Linked DNA regions of Arabidopsis thaliana. The protein of the gene in region 2 purifies or fractionates together with the protein of the main gene of each other region. This does not show direct contact. Each region holds a gene or a part of one and is shown on either strand. Other genes may lie near its edges.

Evidence for each region.
Region 1: the proteins of BXL2 (region 2) and AT4G28440 fractionate together in Arabidopsis thaliana (co-fractionation; one large-scale study listed by BioGRID). This does not show direct contact.

The regions. Positions count from the first base shown.
Region 1 is NC_003075.7:14,058,112-14,061,995, reverse strand, and holds AT4G28440 (Nucleic acid-binding, OB-fold-like protein), read right to left. Parts: upstream 2,101-3,884; 5' UTR 1,943-2,100; coding exon 1,675-1,942; intron 1,220-1,674; coding exon 1,026-1,219; 3' UTR 610-1,025; downstream 1-609. Other genes in the region: AT4G28450 (WD repeat and SOF domain-containing protein 1), read left to right, coding at 1-3, 110-272; AT4G28430 (Reticulon family protein), read right to left, coding at 2,224-2,552, 2,637-2,702, 2,814-2,883, 2,987-3,128, 3,212-3,286, 3,379-3,532, 3,613-3,884.
Region 2 is NC_003070.9:562,275-568,355, reverse strand, and holds BXL2 (beta-xylosidase 2), read right to left. Parts: upstream 4,339-6,081; 5' UTR 4,064-4,338; coding exon 3,659-4,063; intron 2,924-3,658; coding exon 2,645-2,923; intron 2,573-2,644; coding exon 2,403-2,572; intron 2,314-2,402; coding exon 2,216-2,313; intron 2,131-2,215; coding exon 776-2,130; 3' UTR 585-775; downstream 1-584. Other genes in the region: AT1G02630 (Nucleoside transporter family protein), read left to right, coding at 5,974-6,081.

The DNA.
Region 1 (3,884 bases), on a different chromosome or scaffold from region 2:
GAGGTAAATGACCAATGAAAACTGTGGTTTTATCCCATGCTTTAACTCTGGAGATTGTCAAAAGATAACTATAGTAACATGGTAACGTTTTGGTTATTGTGAATTACAGACACAGGCACTTGCCAAAACCAATATACAAAGCGATGGGTATCATTCGAACTGTGAACGATTCGAAGAGAAGAAAAGAAGCACGAAGGAAAGCTCACAGTGCTCCAGGAACAGTGGTCACAGCACCTCTGCGCAAAAGAAAGATCATCAAAGAAGTGGAGTGACTCTACTCTTTCTCCGTTTGTTCCTTTCAAGGATGATGATACGTGGAGAGGATTGTATTGGTATAGTGAGGGTAAGATTAGGAACATGAACATTTTTGCTGTGTTGTAAGCCTTTCTTTATGCCATTAAGTTATTACCCATTTCGTTTTCTTTTTTCTCTTCACTACGTATTGTGTTCATTAACTATTCGTTTTTGGTGTTACAAAGCTGATCTTCAAAGTAACATTCTGATTTCAAAGATTTATAAAGTTTGGAATTAGACCGACTTAACTAGACAATGGTTCTATGATCCGTCGATGAATTTTATGCACTTACAATTTGTCTTAACAATGACATTAATCAAGGATGAGATGCTTTCGATGTAAAAAGTTGGGCAAAACTCTCTGTAACCGAGAGGGTACAATAGTGTACATCAAATAGTAATTAATGAAAAAACAAAGACATTAGTAAAGTTTAAGAAAGAAAAACTTATTTTTACTGTATTAGATAGTGCACAAGCAAGCTCTCAATGGTCTTTAACTTACATCAACACAAATTAAAAGGAACAATTGCATTACGCCATTACCGCAGGCTCAATAGTTCTCCAGAGCAAGATCATGACCGCATATTTTAGGGTAAAAAAGAAGAAGCATATTCCTACAAGCAACTCTGGACCAGTCATACAATCTTCATCATCTAAATCAAAGACCTTCACGGTAGAAAAATCAGAACCCAACACTCTCAGGGGTTAACCTCCATAAACATACTAAAAGATCACTGATCACCACCAACATTGATCAGTTCATACTCAACGAGAGACAGATTGTTATCCTCCTTGACAGTGAAAGACGCGGCTCCAGTGGCTTCGATGCGTCCCCATTTATCAACTCCTAGCCTCATTGTACCCTTGAACATGTCTATCCTTGAATTGCGCAGTATCACCGTAGCACCCGGCTTCATAAGATCAACTATACACACACACACACACACAAAAAAAACCAATAACATCATTAGAGCTAATCAGTAGCCACATCAATTGCACGAAAACTGGTATAACAAAACTTCACATTATGAAAAGCTATGAAAGTTTTGGGATAATGTAGACCATTCAATTGAACATAACTCAACATCTAACCAAGCAAGTTTCATCATCACTATAGGTAAGACTATACAGAGTTACAGACCCTCAAGGCCAAGATTCTTTCAAGCTTCAATTTCACAAAGACATCACTAAATACACATACAATAACTGATACATCATTTACCAAATAGTACTAATAGAAACACATTTACCATTTGCTCAAAATAGAAATTGATTAAGACAAACGAGAGAACAACAAAGGATAAGACTTATCACTCTAATAAACTACGAAGACACCATTTCTATATCCATAAAGCAAGAGAAAAGTGGAGAAACAATAACCTTGATCGTTACGAGCAGTGAAGAGGATACACCCAGTTTCGTCACCGATGAGACACTCAACGATTCGACTAGGCTGAGAAGGACGACTCAGAGAACTCGCTGGACGAGTCTTCCGGGTAACAGGAACCACGATATTAGCCTCAATGACTTTAACAGTCAACGTGTGACCAGTCGTTCCAGGCTTTAGCTGTTCCACCTTCACAAACACCGGTTTTCTCTTCACCGTCGAAGTTCCCGTCGCAACCGCAGCAGTTCCAGTCGTCGCCATCGCTTCAAATTACAATACCCAGATTTCGCGTTCGCCCTAATTTGGTGGAATCGATAAAACTTTTGGAGAAGAGAAATGGGAATTTAGGGTTTATAAAGAAAAGACGACGATGTGCTCTCTCCCAAGACGGACGAGAGTTTTTATCACCTGCTTCTCACAGTTTCATGAGCTTGTCACGTGTCAATTTATTATTTGATATTAATGACTGCTCTTTATTTATTATTACGTAAATGTGAAATATTATTACACAGGTGGATACTGAAAAGACACTAGTGACTAGACTAATAAAGCTTCTTTGGTGCTTTGGTTTCTGCAACTAGCACCAACGCTTGCTCTTCTTCTGCTGACCGCGGTGAAGTTGACTTATCCTCCGGCGATTTTTGTTGCTCCGGGTGAGTTTTTTCTTGTTGCTTCTTCTCCTCCTCATCCTCGGAATCTAACTGTAGATTCTGTCGTCTGTATCTGATTACTACTACTATGATAAACACTGCAATAAAACGGGTCTTGAGAGAAGTTAGATTCCAGAATGCAGTAACTGCAGAGCCTGCTACGAATTTCTTGTGTGTGCAAACTCCCCAAGCTTCAACAAATCTCCTTTGTGCACACTCAACTACACATAAGCAAAGATCAAAGAATCCTTAGTGTCAATCATTGGAACCATCAAAGAGCTACGCAGTCTGTTAATAGAGTTTACCTTTTTGGTTAAGCTGACTTGCGTAACATGAATATAGCTTTGGAATAGTGAAGCTAAGGAAGAAACCTGTTTAAAGAAACAATGCATACTCTGTGTCAATTCTACTAGATACAACTAAAGAAAACAGTTTAGCTTTCTTTGGAGTAATGTTGACATATAGTGTTTCAACAATCATACCAAAAGCACATAATCTCCACAATGTTATGAGGTAACCATACTCAGCTCCCATTAGAACAAAAGGTGCCACCTGAAATCAAAGTAAAAACAGTGTAAGAAGGACAAAATCAACGTGAGAGTCACATTCATTGGAGAGAAGTTTTATGAGAATGGCAAAGTTTTGTAAATTCTACTTTGAGTGTCATTGCTGGTTCACCAGAGAAAAGCTCACTCGTCTTTGAAATTGCTAAATTGGTGATGGGAAGCATTCGTCTAGCTATTCGTAATACATCATCTTCACTCAATTTAAGCTCTCTCCGCGCTTCTTCAGTAACCCTTTATGGTAACAAATGGATCAAAACTTCAGTCAACTGCAGTTCAAGCTGATATTTATGTACTGGGACCTTAAAAGTTTGTACCTTTGGCGAAGAGTATTTGACAAGAACGATACCCCAAGAAACAAAAGTCCAAGATAGGAGATCGCTGAGAAAACACTTCAAACCACACAAAGTTTCATTATCAACTCATGAATGTGAAAAATGATTAAAGCTAGAAAGATAAACCTTGACAGAGAAATCAATGTTACCTAAAGTTAAATCCTTTAGCAGCAAAGCAAGTAGATAGGAAACATATACAGCCAAAACCAAACCAAAGTGTTGATTTCGCAACATCTCTCCACATAATCAAATCGCTTATATTCTCTCTAATCCGCTCTAAATCACCTTGACAAACATCTTGAGCTGAATTACACAAATCATTGAGCAATTATTAGAGCACGAAAGTGAAATCGAATGAGCTAATAGACAGAGGAAGGACATACGTTGATCTGAAGATGGACTAGGAGAAGCTAACAGAGGAACAGAACTGTGCTTCTCCTTCTTAGATCGACCCAACTTCTTCTGTTTCCTCTGGTTTTGTTTCTTTTCATCGGTCACGACAACAATTGGCTCCGTATTTTCCTTTGTATCTACCATCGCCTCCGACCTTAGTCTCGACCTCCGGAAATTCCTCGGCGACGGCGAGGCCAAAAGACCATTTTGCCCTCCCTTCGTCTTACTCCGTCGTGCCGTCACAGCAGCCTCCGCAGCTTCC
Region 2 (6,081 bases):
ATGCAAGAAAAAACAAAGTCTTTCTCTCGAAGCCAAAAAGACTCGTGTTTTCTACTATTTGTTTATTGCCCCGTCGTAGACTAGCGTTACTTGTTTTTGTTTTTGTTAAAAGTTCTGTTTAAATTAATGCACTTTGCTTTTGGATTTACCAAATGTCTATCAATGAATGCACATGTGTATGTTGACAAAAACACAAGGCTCATTTGTATTTTTTATAGATTTCTTTCATCATACTCTAAGAAGATTAATGACAATCTTTAGACATAATTAGCAAAAGTGTTTGTATTATCATATACTTGTGTATATATTTCCGTAGAGTAGTCCACAGAATCTGCAATACATAGATCCAACTAATACATTTTTCAAAAATTAAATCTAAGTAGATTATATGTGTGTACAATATACATAGGAATAGGATCCATGTAAATTAAAGGTTTGAATGGTGTTAAAATAGTAATAAGAGGAACATATAGAAGTAGATAGAAAAAAAAGAGAGGAGAATATGTTACACATCCATAAACTAGTTGAAAATTTTCTTCTACTTTTGTATTTGTGCTTTACATTGTTAATGAACAAGAAAAGAATTCCGAAAACAACCTTTATTTTAAAAAATCCGAGGCCATACAATTCAATTTTAAATACATCTTTTGAATTATAAGAAACAGATTTTCTTCTAGTTTTGTATTTCCTTTTTCAAATTCGTTTCGTTAGAAACATTAAAATCTCTTAAAAATATTTTGGGAACAACAAGAAAAGTGAAAAGAAAAAAACAGAGTCAAGACTTGATGACTCCAAGAGTAGAAGCTTGAAGCGACACCGTATGACTCTCATCTCCAATATGAATCCCATGATCACCGATCGGAATCCTTCGGTTCCCGGCTCGGTCCACTACACTTAAATACTTACACACGTGTATATTCACCTGCACACGCTTCTTCTCCCCAACCGCCACGTGTACTCTCTCAAAAGCAACCAGCTGTTTCTTCGGAGCCCATTCTCCACCCGGCGGAGCCGAGAACACAAGCATTGTGTGCGTCCCATCTCTCGAGCCAACGTTAGTAACTTCCACGTGGACTCCGAGAGAGAGACGATCACACCTAGCGTGCGTCACACGGATTGATTTCCCTGAAACGGTGCCGTTTCTTCCACGAACAGCTATAGGAATCACTTTTGGCGCGTCGGCTATGTTGTGAGTAAAGCGCGTGTAACTCAAACCATGCCCGAACGGGTAAACAACTGGACCGTCGTAGAACCGGTAAGTCCGACCCGGGATCCGCTTCGAATGGACCGGCCGCATCGACATTTCTGTCATTGGTAAATTGGTTAAATAATCTTGCGGATACCAAGTCATCGGAAGCTTTCCTCCGGGATTAGCACTGCCGAATAAGATATCGGCGATTGCGGTACCACCTTCTTGACCCGGATACCCGGCCCAAACAATCGCTGGAATTTTCCGATCCTTCTCAGCAAAAGATATATCGATAGGCCCACCAGACATCAATACTAAGATAACTGGGCCTTTAGCGGCCTTAGCAACTCTAGAGACAAGCTCTTGTTGTTTCCCAGGCAAAAGCAAACTGTTTCTGTCCTTGAACTCCGCTTCAATAGACTGATCCAAACCCATCACAAGAACCGTCGCATCAGCTCCACGAGCCGCTTCAACCGCGGCATCGAACAATCTATCATCCATGCAGTGTACGTCCACGCAACCCTTTTGATGAATGGTTCGAGCATAACCGGTAATACCTTGAACCGGACTGGTATATCCACAAGCAACCCCTGCATAATTACCAATCATTGTGACCGTAGCGTCTGAATTAGGTCCAATTACGGCGACAGTTCGGTGACGTTGGCTTGAGAGAGGTAGAGACGAGCCGTGATTTTTGAGTAGGACGATTCCTTGTTGAGCTGCTTCGAGAGCTAGTCCTTTGTGAACCGGTGTACACACGTGTGCCGGTCCAAGGTGTCCGTACGGTTGAGCCGCTATATCGCCATCAAACATTCCTAGTCTCATTTGGACTGTTAGCGTGTTGATTAAGGCATTATCAACATCGGACTCACGCAACAAGTTTTTCTTCACCGCATCGATTGTATGGGCTCCTAGAAATGGCCCACAATCTAAATCCAAGCCTACACAATCAACACACAAGATTGGTTAGTTTAAGGAAAAATATTCAATTTTAATTTTCTACTAAAAATCAATAATTTTATTTACCAGCTTTGATGGAATCAGCGGCAGCTTCTTCAGGAGTACCAGTGTAATGTTGGGTATCGTACAAAACACCGACAGAGTCACAATCAGACACGATATACCTGTTTGCAGAAAAAAAAAAAAATCAACGGTCAACGAAATTCTAAATTACATATACGGAATGTTTTGAGCTGACGTGGCGTGATCTTACCCGTTGAGACCCCATTGATTGCGTATGGTCTTCTTGAGGAGATTAGGATCAGCACATGTAGGAACACCATTAACTTGATTGTACGAACACATAATGCTCGCAACGTTACCTTCTTTAACACACATACGGAACGGTACGTCGAACGTGTCTTCTATGTCTTGCTTGCTTACCTATCAAAACCAAACACGTGAGAACAAAGAAAGAAGTTGAAGCAAGACAAAGAATAAAAGATTAAATTAAACCTTAGCGTTGAAATGGAATCTGTCGACGCCGTTCCAGTTATCGAGATCGTAAGCTGTGAAATGTTTGCAACAAGCAGCTACTTTTAACCGGCTACGGTCGTTTCCCTGTAACCCTCTGACGTAGCTCGCTGCGTATTTACCGGCTACTACTGGATCTTCACCGGGAGTTTCCTGTCCACGTCCCCAACGTGGGTCCCTCAATATGTTAACGTTTGGGCTCCAATACGTAAGCCCACCAACTCCACCGTTGTACATGGCCCTGGCCTCATTTGACACAACCTGCGAATCCCCAAGAGCGTAACTTAGTCGTGGTTAATTGTTAATGATAAAATGCGCATGACTAATGTTGCAAGTTGAGAGCATCGTATGCAACTTGCGGCTTGCCTCGATTTTAGCGAAAAGCGTACGATAAGTTCATATTCATTTCACCTTTTTAATAAATATTAAAATAGAGCAGTGTTATTTTTTAATATGTTATCTGATTAACTATAAATATCATTAAGTATTCAAATTAGTTAAAAATTGTTAGAATCAGATCTTTGTCGTAAATTGGAGATGGCATAAAAACGAAACCAAGAGCAGAATGTAAGTTACTTTAAATAAATTAGTTTTATTTAAGAAAAGTTACTTTCAATAGCGGTAGGCTAATAAGAGATTCGTGCGTATGTTTATTTGCATGAAGTACCGGACAAAATCAGAACATGAGAAGTGTCGAAATATCACAATTGTATATAAGTTATTTTAAAAATAAAAAACAAAAAACGAATATTAGTTCCGATAAAAGAGAATATTTCGATACAGTAAAAGTGTTTTACATATAAATCGCACTAGAGGTAATTAAATACATAATAAATGTGAGCTGTATATATATATAATTAACATTATTACTTACGTCATTTTCACAGAGAAAATAGTGAAAAGTATTTAGTAGTTAGATCGGGGGCACACACAAAAATAATTGAAATAGGTGTTTTTAACTTAATGGATAAAAGAGAGAGAAAGAAATAATCTGACCCGTCCGATGGATTCCCACAAGGAGGCATTGAAAGAAGCAACGGTGGTGATGACTTGAGGGAAACTGGTGGCTGCAGGGTAAACCCCACCGAACTTAGTACCGGGTCCCACATTTGAAACGCCGTGTAAAGCCTCCGACCACCACTCGTACCCTTTGATTCCTAGACGTGGTATCGCCGCCGCAGTGTTCCCTAACAAGCTCACTTTCTCGGCCAATGTCAACCGTCCGATCAAATCTCTGACTCTCTCCGGTATAGGAACTGAAAGCTGGCAGAATCTCAGTGTAGCTGTTGCTGCGTCCTTTGTATCGCAAGCAAACGTTTCACGGCTATGAACGCAAACGCTGCTGCTGCTTATCAAGAAGAAGAGAATAACGGCCAAGAACGCCATTTTGTGGAGAATCATTTCTTTAAAACAAATATTATTTACTCCTCTTCCTAGTTTCTTTTGGGTTTTATGGAAGAGAGAAAAATGGAAATGTGATGAAAGACTTGTGAGAGTGAAGTTTGCGTGTTATGTTTATATAGAGAGGCAATGATAATGGTATGATAAAGATAATGAGTAGAGCTCTCTTCGTGAATTTTCTTTACTCTATCAAGGAAATATCATTTTTCTTTAATATATATGAATATTTCGAAACCAAACATATTTAGATATAAAGAATTGGTTTTATATTTAAATTTACATTTAATTTGAGGAGAAGACAAGTTGAGAGATTTGATGAGTGAACTAACCTGCCATTTTGGATATGTAAATGGTTAGAAAGTGTTGGAAGACAGTTGTCACTATGTGGGTCCTGGTTCTTAAGAGACTTTTTTATGTGCAGTTAAATAGATTTGATTATAATTCGACTTTGTTAATCATATAATTAGTTACTTGAATTTCGTTTTATTATGTTAGGTTTTCATCGTAAGAAAGAAAAATGTTGGTTTATATCTGAAGCAATCTGTTTTGCAATTAGTTTTCTTTTTTTCTAACAGAACTTTTTGTTTCCCACTTGACAGGTAAACAAATTAACTTGGCTTGTACGAGATGTCACACCATTCTAAATTCCTTAACGATCTTTATTTTATTTTTGTTCTTTTTTCTTACATACATGTGGCCGGTGAAGTGGAATTGCACGAATCATTTCTTATATAGATGTAGATATGCGAATATTTATAATAGAGGAGTAATTTTTTTGTACTATTGCATCCTTTGAGCAGAGTAAATGGATGTGGAACAAATTTTGCGGATAATCAATTATATACAATGTTAGAACAAGTATAGATCGAATCTTTTCTGGTTGAGTATTAATGTTTTAGTCAATACATACTGTTTAATTTGTTTAATTACCCTTGTAAGAATCTTTTTCTGGTTGAATATTAATGTTTTAGTCAATATATATAGTGTTTAATTTGATTTTTTAGAAAAGTTTAGTCTGGATTTACCGTTTTCATTGCATATGGTTTGTATGATCCTTTTATACATATTTTGAATAATAAAAGATGACCACAATTTGAAAAACAAAACCGTGAATAAAGGCAGATAAAAACCGTGAGAATAGGAAAGGATAAATTAAATTTTATTCGAGCGACTAAGAGGTCACGAAGAAGAAGGCAACGTAATAAGTAATTGAAAAAAGAAATAGTAGTATAAGTATGGGCATGGTGTGTCGGAAACAGACAGCAACTTGTGCTCTTGTTACTTCGGTGTCCCAAATCTCACACTCTATTGGCTCATATCTTCGGTGTTCAACTGTTCATTATGAAATTATTACTACTAAAGTAATAACTCATTATTGGTTATTGCGATCCTTGGGAAACACCTAATCAGCAATAAAACTTCCAAAACTTTATTTTTACCATATAATTAAAAACAAAACGCCACGGACTGTAACTTAATTAATTAGCACCACAGAATTTGTATGTTCTAAGTTTTGAGTGGGAAAACCCTTGAGTAACGCATTGATCATAAGAAGAAATGAAAGTAGTCAATGGAATATAAGGGTACTGAAAAGAAGAGTCCCGACCAATTTCATGAACAAATTAAAGTAGTAACTTTAATCCTAACCCATCTGTTTTGTGTCCCACCAAAAAACATACAGTCTTGTGTGTCTTTGTACTACTAGCTATGATCTCTAGAGCCATATCAAAGAATCGTAATCCCGAATATATAATGCTAAGATGTGACTCGTGTTGGTCTTGCTACCACCAAATCTCACAACCATCTAATCAAATCCCTATCACACTCACTTGCTTTATAATGAAACCAACATCGGAAAGATTTCAAGAACGCAAAGTAGTGAGATCAAGAGAGAAAAAAGGGGAGTTACAATGGTTGATGAGAAAGTGATTGTTGATGAAGTTGAGACAAGAGACGCTTATAGAGTTGCGTACGTGATCCATTTCTTGTTGGGTGCTGGTAGTTTAATACCATGGAAC